Arabidopsis thaliana: one gene and its partner. The protein of the gene in region 1 interacts with the protein of each later gene in a pairwise test. Each region holds a gene or a part of one and is shown in the gene's direction. Other genes may lie near its edges.

Evidence for each region.
Region 2: the proteins of TPD1 (region 1) and EMS1 interact in binary tests that used the Arabidopsis thaliana proteins (3 or more experiments, as listed by UniProt).

The regions. Positions count from the first base shown.
Region 1 is NC_003075.7:12,835,551-12,840,921, forward strand, and holds TPD1 (tapetum determinant 1), read left to right. Parts: upstream 1-1,802; 5' UTR 1,803-1,908; intron 1,909-2,575; 5' UTR 2,576-2,669; coding exon 2,670-2,757; intron 2,758-2,888; coding exon 2,889-2,984; intron 2,985-3,722; coding exon 3,723-4,069; 3' UTR 4,070-4,680; downstream 4,681-5,371.
Region 2 is NC_003076.8:2,283,233-2,289,580, forward strand, and holds EMS1 (Leucine-rich repeat transmembrane protein kinase), read left to right. Parts: upstream 1-1,597; 5' UTR 1,598-1,855; coding exon 1,856-5,434; 3' UTR 5,435-5,623; downstream 5,624-6,348. Other genes in the region: XBAT33 (uncharacterized protein), read left to right, coding at 1-152. UniProt on the Arabidopsis thaliana protein: Receptor with a serine/threonine-protein kinase activity required for the specification of the correct number of male archesporial initials and for the subsequent specification of tapetal and middle cell layer identities.

The DNA.
Region 1 (5,371 bases):
GATCTGATCCGGGTGGGATACAACATGTTGTAGATTAGTGTTATTGATAGGAAATTTGTAACATCTCTAAATGTTTTTGACCTATGATTGTTTTTTTTCCTTACAAACTTATACCATTCCCATAGCCTTAGCATCTGCCATTGCAGTAACATTAACGATTTCCATGTGAAAAACAACCAATTTTAGCAATAATTTGGGTTGACTTTGTCGAGATCTTGGCTCAATTATATATATTCATACCATTACTATATAAGAACTGATGTCTTGTTTATTTGATGTCAGACGCCTGAGAGGTTTCAAAGTTTTTAAAAAAAAAAATTTTTAAAGAGAAGCGTGTGTGGCTTTAAATAAGGTCAACTAGGAAATGGGAATCATTCAACAAGAAGAAAAATGACAAAATGAAATATGAATGAAGAGGAGGAGGGGGTCGAGAAAGGTTGAGAGAAGCAGACCAAAGCTCTGCAAAACTCTGTTTTATTAATGACACATTGTGCTCTGTCTGTCAAAAGCAATGCCTTCTTTCTAGTGCATTTATTGCCCATTCCCAAACAAAATATACAAATAAGTGTAAGGATGCATGATATAGTTTAAAAAACTATTTGAAATGCTCACATTCTTTTTGAACTTCTCTTTTAAATTTGCAAAAAAAAATTATATTTTTTTGTTCCAAAAACTGCAAGCAAATGTTGATACGAACGAGCCAACTTGTCATTTTATGACCTTGTTTTATCTCTGCCAGTCAAATAACTCTTTCCGTTTTCGCTTTTTTGGCTTACTTCTTACTCTGTTGGTTTGCCTTTTGTTTGGCCTTACTTTCGTTTATAGGAATCGAATTTCAATGTTTTATCTTTCCTGTCGAAATTAAATTGGTCTTTCTAATAAATCTCATTTTTTTCTTTTTCAAAGATTTGTTTATTTAGTGAACAAATTCTTAAGAGAGTTTTTTTCCCCAAGCAATTGAAAATGAATCATGTAATGTTGATTTTTTTGGTGCAAGTTTATATAGTTTGCTAGAAATTTGGCCTTCATACGATATTTGAACATTTTGATATAAGATTTCTATCAGAAGACAGAAGCTACACGATTGATTCAGCCAGAGAAAACAAAAGTTGAACCGAACGATTAAACCCACACACAAAAAAAAACAAATAGAATAAGAATGAAGGAGAAGGAATATAAAAATGGGTACAAGAAAAAACATCATCGTCGCAATCATAAATGCAATTGAAGGCGCGTGGAAAAGAGACTCGTGTGCTTCTGATACTCCCACGTGAGGATGTGACAATTTAATATTACGAATTCAATAATTACCCAATCTTTCTTAATCTGTTAATTTATCTAAGCCAATCATTCATTCCTTTCACACCCGCCACGGTGTCAATCCAAATTTTTTAGAATCACCAAATTACACCTTTACCCTTATATTGTTTTTAATTTGTTTCCGAATTTTACCAACTGTTTCAATAAAACGTACCAACCCATTTCTGGTTGGATACAAGCGGGATTCATTCCTATATAACATTTTTAACGGTATCATTCAATCATACCGGTCCAATTTATTTCTATCATGCTATCTATATAACATTTTCTTACAAAATGTCTTTCTCTATACCTTTTCACATTCGAAACTTCAAAAGTTAATGTGTCAATTTAATTACGCATAACTCGAAAAATGCATTTTAAAACAATTAAAATTAAATTTATCTTAATTTGACGTTATAAAAAAATATTGAATATATTTCCGAGAAATAATAATAAGAGAAAGGACTATAAATACGTCTCTAGTGTGTAATGTGTAACACAGACGAGAGTCCTCAAATCCATTTTCTCTCTCTATCTCTCTTTATCCCTTCGTCTTCTTCCTCGGCGACACCACTTGCAGGCGCTAACTCGACGAAGAAGGAAAAGGTGAGAGAAACTCTCTGAAAACTGTACGGATTTAAACGTATATATGTGTGTATGTATACGAATCTGATGGTTTAGTTTTCTGGATTTTTCTCCATTCTCTGTTGATTCTACTTTTTTTGTTTGTTTGTTTGCTTTGTTTCTCTGTGTTTCACGCTGCACTACGCTCCAGCTTTCTCTTTGTTTTTCAGAACCAGATTGCTTTTTTCCATGAAACTCGATCGAGATTTCTTACTTTTTCCTATTTTTAGTCGCTTTATGATACGATTCATCTGTCGCCTGATTCGCTTCATCTCCTTGGTTTGATTTTAGATTTTCAATTTCTTCTGTTTTTGGTTACGTTTGTGTTCGCTGTGATGAAGTTTTCCCTGAAACTTGTTAAAAGCGATAATGCATTTCGCCGTCGTTTTCTTCGATTTTAGGTTTAAGCTTCTCTCTCTCTCTTTCACTGTACATTGCGCAACAGATTTTTGATTTTGGTCAAAGTTTTTCAAAATTTCTGCAGTAGATTCCTTATATTTCAAATCAGAGAAGCGAGTGATGTTAGGAGCCGCTTAAATCTGGATTTTCCTCTGTTTTATACTGTTCATTGATATGATGGATGCAAGACAAGTCGTGTGATAAGATACTCATAAAGTTTTTTTCGTTCTCTTTCCTCTGGTTTTTACAGATTTTCCGGTGTTAGTCACATCGACGCAGAAGGAACAGAGAAGAAGACGAGAGTCAGCTTCATTATCAACTTTAGTTCTTCGACGTCTACGCACATGAACCGACGGCGACTTTTGGTATCGGCGACACTGCTCTCGTATTTGCTCTACGGCATGGCTCTCGTCTCCGTTGAAGCCTCCGGTGGTACGAAATTCCTTAAATTAAACGTAGATTCACTTGTTTCTTAAACACTCTGTTATGCTTAGGTTAAACTTAGATTCCTTAACCAAATGTTATCTTCTGAGTGTTAATGGTGGAAAATCTCGTGGTTATAGGTGAAAAGCTTAGAGATAATCTGGATTTGACTAAAACGACGACGTCGTCACCGAGCATATCACATCGGAAAATGCTGCTTCTCTCTCCTGGTACTGGTAAGGGGATTTTGATTTTTTTAGACTCCAGTTTTACATTTTACCAAATCGGTGATTGATTCTCTATTGTGTTGATTTTGTTAAATTTGTCTTGGTTCCTCCATTTTCGTTAAGAACCTCGTGAAATGGTGAATTGTTGTTTTGTTTGTTTGTTTGCATCAGAACTTCTCTCTCTGTGGTCTCTCTGTGAATGCACAACTTCCTGATGCGTTTCGTCCTTTTTGTTTTCACAGCGTCGTCAGTCTTTTGCACGTCTGTGTTTTCTTGCCCCTGCTTTTGTTTCTTTGTTCGTTATACTTTTGTGGACCCACTTAAGAGCCTCATGACTTATCTTAAGAGTAAAAACAAATAACATCATCTTAAGATTGTGTGTTTTCAAACGTCGAATTTTACCTTCTGTTGAATCTCTTTCTTCTTATTATGTGTATGAATTAGTAATATATAAATAATTAAAATTAGGAAGATTTAGTTTTGATGACTTGTTGACTATTTACTGGAGAATGCATACATCTGTATAGCAATGCTTAAACAGCTCCCTACTTCATCCAGCTGTCAAATTAATACTAGTATTCTCTTTTTTTCATTTTATACTCCAATATTTTTTTGGTTATTCCATTAAATTTTTACTAGAAAATGTAGTTAGAGAGAACGAGTCTTTAGCATATCCTCTTAGCAATGTAGCTACTAATATACTGAAATTCCTCTGTTTTGATTGTGTGTGTGATTGTTTATATAAAGGAAAAACAGAAAGGAGTGTAGAGCCGGAGAGAATTGGAGAAAAGTGCAAGAGTACGGACATAGTGGTGAACCAAGCAGTAACGGAACCAATGCCTAACGGAATACCAGGCTACATGGTAGAGATAACGAACCAGTGTATGTCTGGATGCATAATTTCGAGGATCCACATCAACTGCGGTTGGTTCAGCTCAGCTAAGTTGATAAACCCAAGAGTCTTCAAGCGTATTCACTACGACGACTGTCTCGTCAACAACGGCAAGCCTTTGCCTTTTGGCTCCACTCTCTCTTTTCACTACGCCAACACTTTCCCTTACCATCTCTCTGTCGCCTTCGTGACATGTGCTTAGGTCGTGGCTTTTTCTTTTAGTTTTTTTTGTTTAGGATGAGATAGTAGAAAGAAACAGAGGGAAATTAAGAGGGTCTTACTAGATACGGAAATATGAGATTAGTCGTATTCATACCATACCATCCACTTTTGTTTTTTGGTTCTCTTGGGATGTGAAACAGTGATAGATAAATGAATATATATCCAAACTCTTTTTTCCCTCTCTGTTAAGCTTTTCTCAATACCTATTGTTGTAGCTGGAAATGGTCAAAACCCCCAGTCTCAGACCGTAGAACTGGCATATTGGGTCATGGAGCCCTTAAGACCACTAAGAGAAATAACCTCGGAAGCAATCTTTGAATTTGAACATGGCTAAGACTTTATCTATAGGAAAAAAAAGAAGAAGATGAAATCCTGTTGATTGAAGAACGAGAATTTCATTCGGACCAGTTGCTTTAAGAATTTCTTACGCTTGGTATCCACATTTCGTTTAGTACGATCCGATTGGTTTACTCATTTTTTAGATTAACCAATTATGGTTTGTTGTATGAGTTTGTACTTCCGTTTTCTCGTGTATCCCTTGGCTTGAATAATATACTGGATGATATCATACAAATTTCAAAATAAAAACAAAAAGAAATTTAATATATTGTTGCGCTTTACATATTAGTATAAATTATTATTTTCGACACTTGTTCAATTTTATAGAATTGAACAGTGGATTGAAGAAATGATGTGGAATGATTTGATTTGTGTTAAAATGACAAATCTTATGTTATTTAAACATGACAATGGATGAATGGATTAATAATTTGAAATAGACAATCAAATCTACTGTTATTGAAAACATTTTAAGTAGTGGATTTGAATTGATTGAGTGACTTTAGGTGAGATTTCTGGGAGTTTTTAAGTTAAAAATATAAATATCCAAATCTCATGGTTTTAAGTGAGATTTGAGAGAATATAAATATCAAAACTCATCAAACTTAAATCACTCTAAATTCATTACTATATTAGTATAGATACATGTTAAAAGATTTTCTCGTGTTATCGCGTGATGAAAATCTCTATCATTTTTTTTATCCTATGAAATTATGATATTTTAAAACCTACTATTACTTTGATCCAAAATTAGATTTTATACTTATATATTTTAATAAAAGTTGTTGAATAAAAAGTTTTTTTTTTAACTTTAATTTTTGATTTACCAATTTAACTAATACAAATATATTATGATAATATTTTATGTTCGGAAACTAATTTAGTAGAGTGAATTAGTCGTTTGACAACATAGATACTTAGATAGTAAAAGTTTAGTATAAAA
Region 2 (6,348 bases), on another chromosome or scaffold:
ACGTCGAATCTTCTCCTTCTCGAACAACAACTGAACAGGAGAAGATAGAAGAAGGGCAAAGACTTGGGAAAACAACAACTTGTTCAAGTATGTTCTGGGGAAGAAGAAGCTGTAGCAGAGAGAACCAATGCAACTCCGAGATCAATGCTTGATCATAAACATATTATTTGTATGTACAGAGAAAGAAAGAGGAGAATCTATATGTCTCCCATCATTTCTTACTTTTAAAATGGGGATGAGCCACAACACAGAGAGTCTTCTTGTTAGGTTTGTAACGTTTGTTTTTGACTTTGGAGAGGCTCAAGTTATTAATTATGGATGATGATTTGTAATTGTCAACATAATGATGGGGTCATTTTGCAAAATCTTTCTATTTTTATTAGTTGGACCCATTTGTTATAGTACATAGATGAAAATATTGAGACTTTCTTATAATTTTCAACCCAAGAACTAGAAGAAGTCAAACAAAACTAAAGGTAATAATGAATGATTCTCTATAGCTCTTGATGAGAAAAATCTGACCACACAAAGTCCAAGTCATTTTCTTCCTCTGCAAATAACTTAATACTACTTTTACTCTTATTAGTTCTTGGATCCAAAAGAAAGAAAAAACGAAAAACAAACAAACAAATGAAGCTATCACTCAATTAGTTGGACTCGAACTGGTTTGGTTTCAGTGATGCGCCAATTTCAAAAAGCATTCCCATTTTTGGCTTTGCTACTTCGAAATCTTCATTTGCAGAGCTAGTCTATATGACTTTAAATTTCAATTACATTACCATTTTTTTTATTAACTTATTATTATGTCATGGATCAATAATTCTATATAGTTCAACCTATAATGAATTTATGAGAAAGAGTGGTCCACTAACCTTATAATCAACTATATTCACTTAATTAGGTTTAATAATCTAATGGGGGTAAAGTCTTTATGTGATTAGAAAAATGGAAACAGATCCCAAAGGGAAAAAGCTTAAACATTCCCAAAGGGGAAAGAAGACATGTGGGGGAACTCTGCTCTTTTTTCTCCTCATTTTTTTAATTTACAATGGACCACCACATTCTCTGTTTTCTTAATTTTAACCCCCTTTCTTAATTATCTTCGAAACAAGAAAGCAAAATTAACTTGTATACTATAAAAATTAAGAATAATGACTATACAATTTTGTTCTGTTTTTGTTCGCAATGAAAAAAGCCTGAACATATGTAGTTAGATTAGATAAATCAAAATCTACTGCTATAAAGTAAATGCAAGAATTCCCAAACATAAAACCACCCCCTAAAATGATTAGCTGTAATCTATCTATAATTGGTTTTGATTGAAGCATCTTCGGATATCACATTAAATGAATGAAAATACACAATTAATTTGACCAGCTTTTTAATAAAGAAGCCAAAACAAAAACTCAAAATTACAATTTGACCATACAACTTTCGAATATTTAGAAAACAAACCCCGTCAGCTTTAATCTGGTACACAGTGGTTGGGATTCCTGCAGATTCGAGCCGTACTCTCTCAAGACTCTGACCCATGCCTTCATCCATATATAACTATTCATCATCACAAATGTATATTTAAAAATTCACGCAAACAAAACAAAGCTTGAAAATAAGAAATATTAAATTGCCGTTACGAAGTCTTATTACGTCACGTGAGTTTCGTGCTTCTCTTTCTCTCTCTCTTCTTCTTCTTCTTCATCTTCATCTTCATCTTTATCGCGCCTAAAAAAAAAACCCTTCCTTTTTCTCTTTAATGGCGTGATTTCTCTTCTCTGCTCTTGTAAAAATTGAAACTTTCTCTGTAAAATCGTCTCTTTTAAATCTCCGAGTTTTCTTCCTCCTTCTCTAAAAGAACATGGCGTTTCTTACCGCATTGTTCCTGTTTCTCTTCTTCTCTTTTTCGAGTTCCGCCATTGTTGATCTTAGCTCGGAAACAACTTCTCTCATCTCCTTCAAGCGCTCACTAGAAAACCCATCTCTCCTTTCTTCATGGAACGTTTCGTCTTCCGCGTCTCACTGCGATTGGGTTGGCGTTACGTGTCTGCTTGGACGAGTCAACTCGCTCTCCTTACCGTCTTTGTCTCTGAGAGGCCAGATTCCGAAGGAAATTTCGAGTTTGAAGAACCTTAGAGAGCTTTGTCTTGCCGGAAATCAATTCTCCGGGAAGATTCCGCCTGAGATTTGGAATCTAAAACATCTCCAAACCCTTGACCTCTCAGGAAATTCTCTCACCGGACTTCTCCCGAGGCTACTCAGTGAGTTACCTCAGCTTCTCTACCTCGACCTTAGTGACAACCACTTCTCCGGTTCACTTCCTCCATCGTTCTTCATCAGCTTACCTGCACTGTCTTCTCTTGACGTCTCCAACAACTCTCTCTCCGGCGAAATCCCTCCTGAAATCGGGAAACTGAGTAACCTCTCCAATCTTTACATGGGACTCAACTCATTTTCCGGTCAAATTCCGTCGGAGATTGGTAACATCTCGTTGCTGAAGAACTTTGCTGCACCTTCTTGCTTCTTCAATGGACCGTTACCAAAGGAGATTTCGAAACTGAAACACTTAGCAAAGCTCGACCTTTCTTATAATCCACTCAAGTGTTCCATTCCCAAATCGTTTGGAGAGTTGCATAATCTGAGTATACTAAATCTTGTCTCCGCAGAGCTTATTGGATTGATCCCACCAGAGCTTGGTAATTGTAAAAGCCTCAAGTCACTGATGCTGTCTTTCAATTCTCTCTCTGGACCTTTGCCATTGGAGCTTTCAGAGATTCCTCTGTTGACGTTTTCTGCTGAAAGGAATCAGCTTTCGGGTTCATTGCCTTCATGGATGGGGAAATGGAAGGTACTGGACTCACTTCTGTTAGCTAACAATCGGTTTTCAGGTGAAATCCCTCATGAGATTGAGGATTGTCCAATGTTGAAACATCTCAGTCTAGCTAGCAACTTGTTAAGTGGTTCGATTCCTAGGGAGCTCTGTGGTTCAGGTTCGTTGGAGGCGATTGATCTCTCTGGGAATTTGCTTTCTGGAACAATTGAGGAGGTCTTTGATGGATGTTCCTCTCTTGGAGAGTTGTTACTTACTAATAATCAGATCAATGGCTCTATTCCTGAGGATCTTTGGAAGCTTCCATTGATGGCACTTGACTTGGATTCCAACAACTTCACAGGAGAAATCCCAAAGAGTCTCTGGAAATCAACGAACTTGATGGAGTTTACAGCTTCTTATAATCGTCTAGAAGGTTATTTGCCTGCAGAGATTGGTAATGCAGCTTCACTGAAGCGGTTGGTTCTCAGTGATAATCAGTTAACAGGTGAAATCCCAAGAGAGATTGGAAAACTCACATCTTTGTCTGTCTTGAATCTGAATGCAAACATGTTTCAAGGGAAGATACCAGTTGAGCTCGGTGATTGTACTTCTTTGACTACATTGGATCTAGGCAGCAACAATCTTCAAGGACAGATTCCAGACAAAATCACTGCTCTCGCTCAGCTTCAGTGCCTGGTTCTCTCTTACAACAATCTCTCCGGGTCAATTCCATCAAAACCCTCTGCTTATTTCCATCAGATTGAGATGCCTGATCTCAGCTTTCTTCAGCACCATGGGATATTTGATCTCTCCTACAATAGATTGTCTGGCCCTATACCAGAAGAACTTGGCGAGTGTTTGGTATTGGTAGAGATTTCACTGAGCAACAACCATCTCTCTGGAGAGATTCCAGCTTCACTCTCTCGTTTGACCAACCTCACAATCCTGGATCTATCTGGAAATGCACTGACTGGATCTATTCCAAAGGAGATGGGCAACTCTCTTAAGTTGCAGGGATTAAACTTGGCGAATAATCAGCTCAATGGCCATATTCCAGAAAGCTTTGGCTTGTTAGGTAGCTTGGTGAAGCTAAACTTGACTAAGAACAAGCTTGATGGACCGGTTCCTGCTTCTCTTGGGAACTTGAAAGAGCTTACACACATGGACTTGAGCTTTAACAACCTAAGTGGCGAGCTTTCATCAGAACTGTCTACAATGGAAAAACTTGTCGGCCTCTACATTGAGCAGAATAAGTTCACCGGGGAAATACCTTCAGAACTTGGTAATCTTACGCAGCTGGAGTACCTTGATGTTTCTGAGAACTTGTTATCTGGAGAGATACCAACAAAGATCTGTGGATTGCCCAATCTGGAGTTCTTGAATCTAGCCAAGAACAATCTGCGAGGAGAGGTGCCGAGTGATGGTGTTTGTCAGGATCCTTCCAAGGCATTGCTTTCAGGGAACAAAGAGTTGTGTGGCAGAGTGGTTGGATCAGATTGCAAGATCGAGGGAACTAAGTTGAGGAGTGCTTGGGGGATTGCAGGACTCATGCTTGGCTTTACGATCATCGTTTTTGTGTTTGTTTTCTCTCTGCGCAGATGGGCTATGACAAAGAGAGTGAAGCAAAGAGATGATCCAGAGCGAATGGAGGAAAGCAGATTGAAAGGGTTTGTTGATCAGAACCTGTATTTCTTAAGTGGAAGCAGATCAAGGGAGCCTTTAAGCATCAATATAGCAATGTTCGAGCAGCCGCTTCTGAAGGTGCGTTTAGGAGATATTGTCGAGGCTACAGATCATTTCTCTAAGAAGAACATTATAGGAGACGGTGGTTTTGGGACGGTTTACAAAGCTTGTTTACCAGGTGAGAAAACAGTAGCGGTGAAGAAGCTAAGTGAAGCCAAAACGCAGGGAAACCGAGAATTCATGGCAGAGATGGAGACTCTAGGGAAAGTGAAGCATCCGAATCTTGTGTCTTTGCTTGGATATTGCTCTTTCAGTGAAGAGAAGCTTCTGGTATATGAGTATATGGTAAATGGAAGCTTAGATCACTGGTTAAGGAACCAAACTGGGATGCTAGAGGTTCTGGACTGGTCAAAACGCCTCAAAATCGCAGTTGGAGCTGCAAGAGGTCTAGCTTTCCTACATCACGGTTTCATCCCTCACATTATACACAGGGACATCAAAGCGAGCAACATTCTGTTAGATGGTGATTTTGAACCAAAGGTGGCGGATTTTGGGCTAGCAAGACTAATTAGTGCCTGTGAATCCCATGTTAGTACAGTCATAGCAGGGACTTTCGGGTATATCCCACCGGAGTATGGTCAGAGTGCCCGAGCCACAACCAAAGGAGATGTCTATAGCTTTGGCGTGATACTATTGGAGCTTGTCACAGGGAAAGAGCCAACCGGTCCAGACTTTAAGGAGAGTGAAGGAGGGAACTTGGTTGGTTGGGCGATTCAGAAGATCAACCAAGGGAAAGCTGTGGATGTTATTGATCCACTGCTCGTATCTGTGGCTTTGAAGAACTCTCAGCTTCGTCTGCTTCAGATAGCTATGCTTTGTCTTGCTGAAACGCCAGCTAAGCGCCCTAACATGCTTGATGTGTTGAAGGCTCTTAAGGAGATATGAGCCATATAACCTTAAATGTTGTAGTTGTTTCTTGTTGTTTAAGTAAACTGCTAGTACTAACCAAACAAGGGAGTGGTAGGGTTTGTATTTGTAATGTTAATGTAAGTGTTCTTCAGTTTCTTCTAAATGTCGAACAAAGAAAAATAGGTATTCCAATTTCCAATTAATTGCACTTAATTTATGATCAGGTGTGAAATAAACTGATGTTATACCAAACCAAAGAAAAAAGTTTATAACCCAAAGATAAAACTTTAAAACCAAATATGCAATGTTTTCATCGGTACTGCTAAATAAATTTGGTTTCAATTTTTTTTCATTTTTTCTGAGTTCAATTCGAGAAAATCATAAAAATAATATATGGATACCTAAGAAAACCAAACATTTTTTATATGGACCTAGCTCGGGAAGTTATTAAAGCACATGCGGTGGTAGGAGTGTCTCGGAGATTAGTGGGCAGAGAAGATAGACTAATCTCATGGAGTAGACCAAGTGAAGGTTGGTGCACGCTGAATACAGACGGAGCGTCAAGAGGCAATCCCGGATTAGCGGCGGCAGGAGGGGTCTTACAGGAGAGCAATGGGGAATGGCGCAGAGGGTTTGCAATTAATATCGGGATATGCTCAACACCTCTTGCTGAGTTATGGGGTGTATACTACGGGTTATTCATGGCCTGGGAGTGTAAAGTATCCCGATTAGAGTTAGAGGTGGACTCGGAGGTTGTTGTTGGGTTTCTTCGGACAGGGATAAGTGAATCTCACCCGCTGTCCTTCCTAATACGCATGTGCTATGGCTTTATATCAAAGGACTAGATAGTCCGGATTTCTCACAAGTATAGGGAAACTAATAGTCTAGCGGATGAGTTAGCGAACTATGCATTTTCTTTACCTCTTGGTTTTCAGTTTTTTTATGTTTGT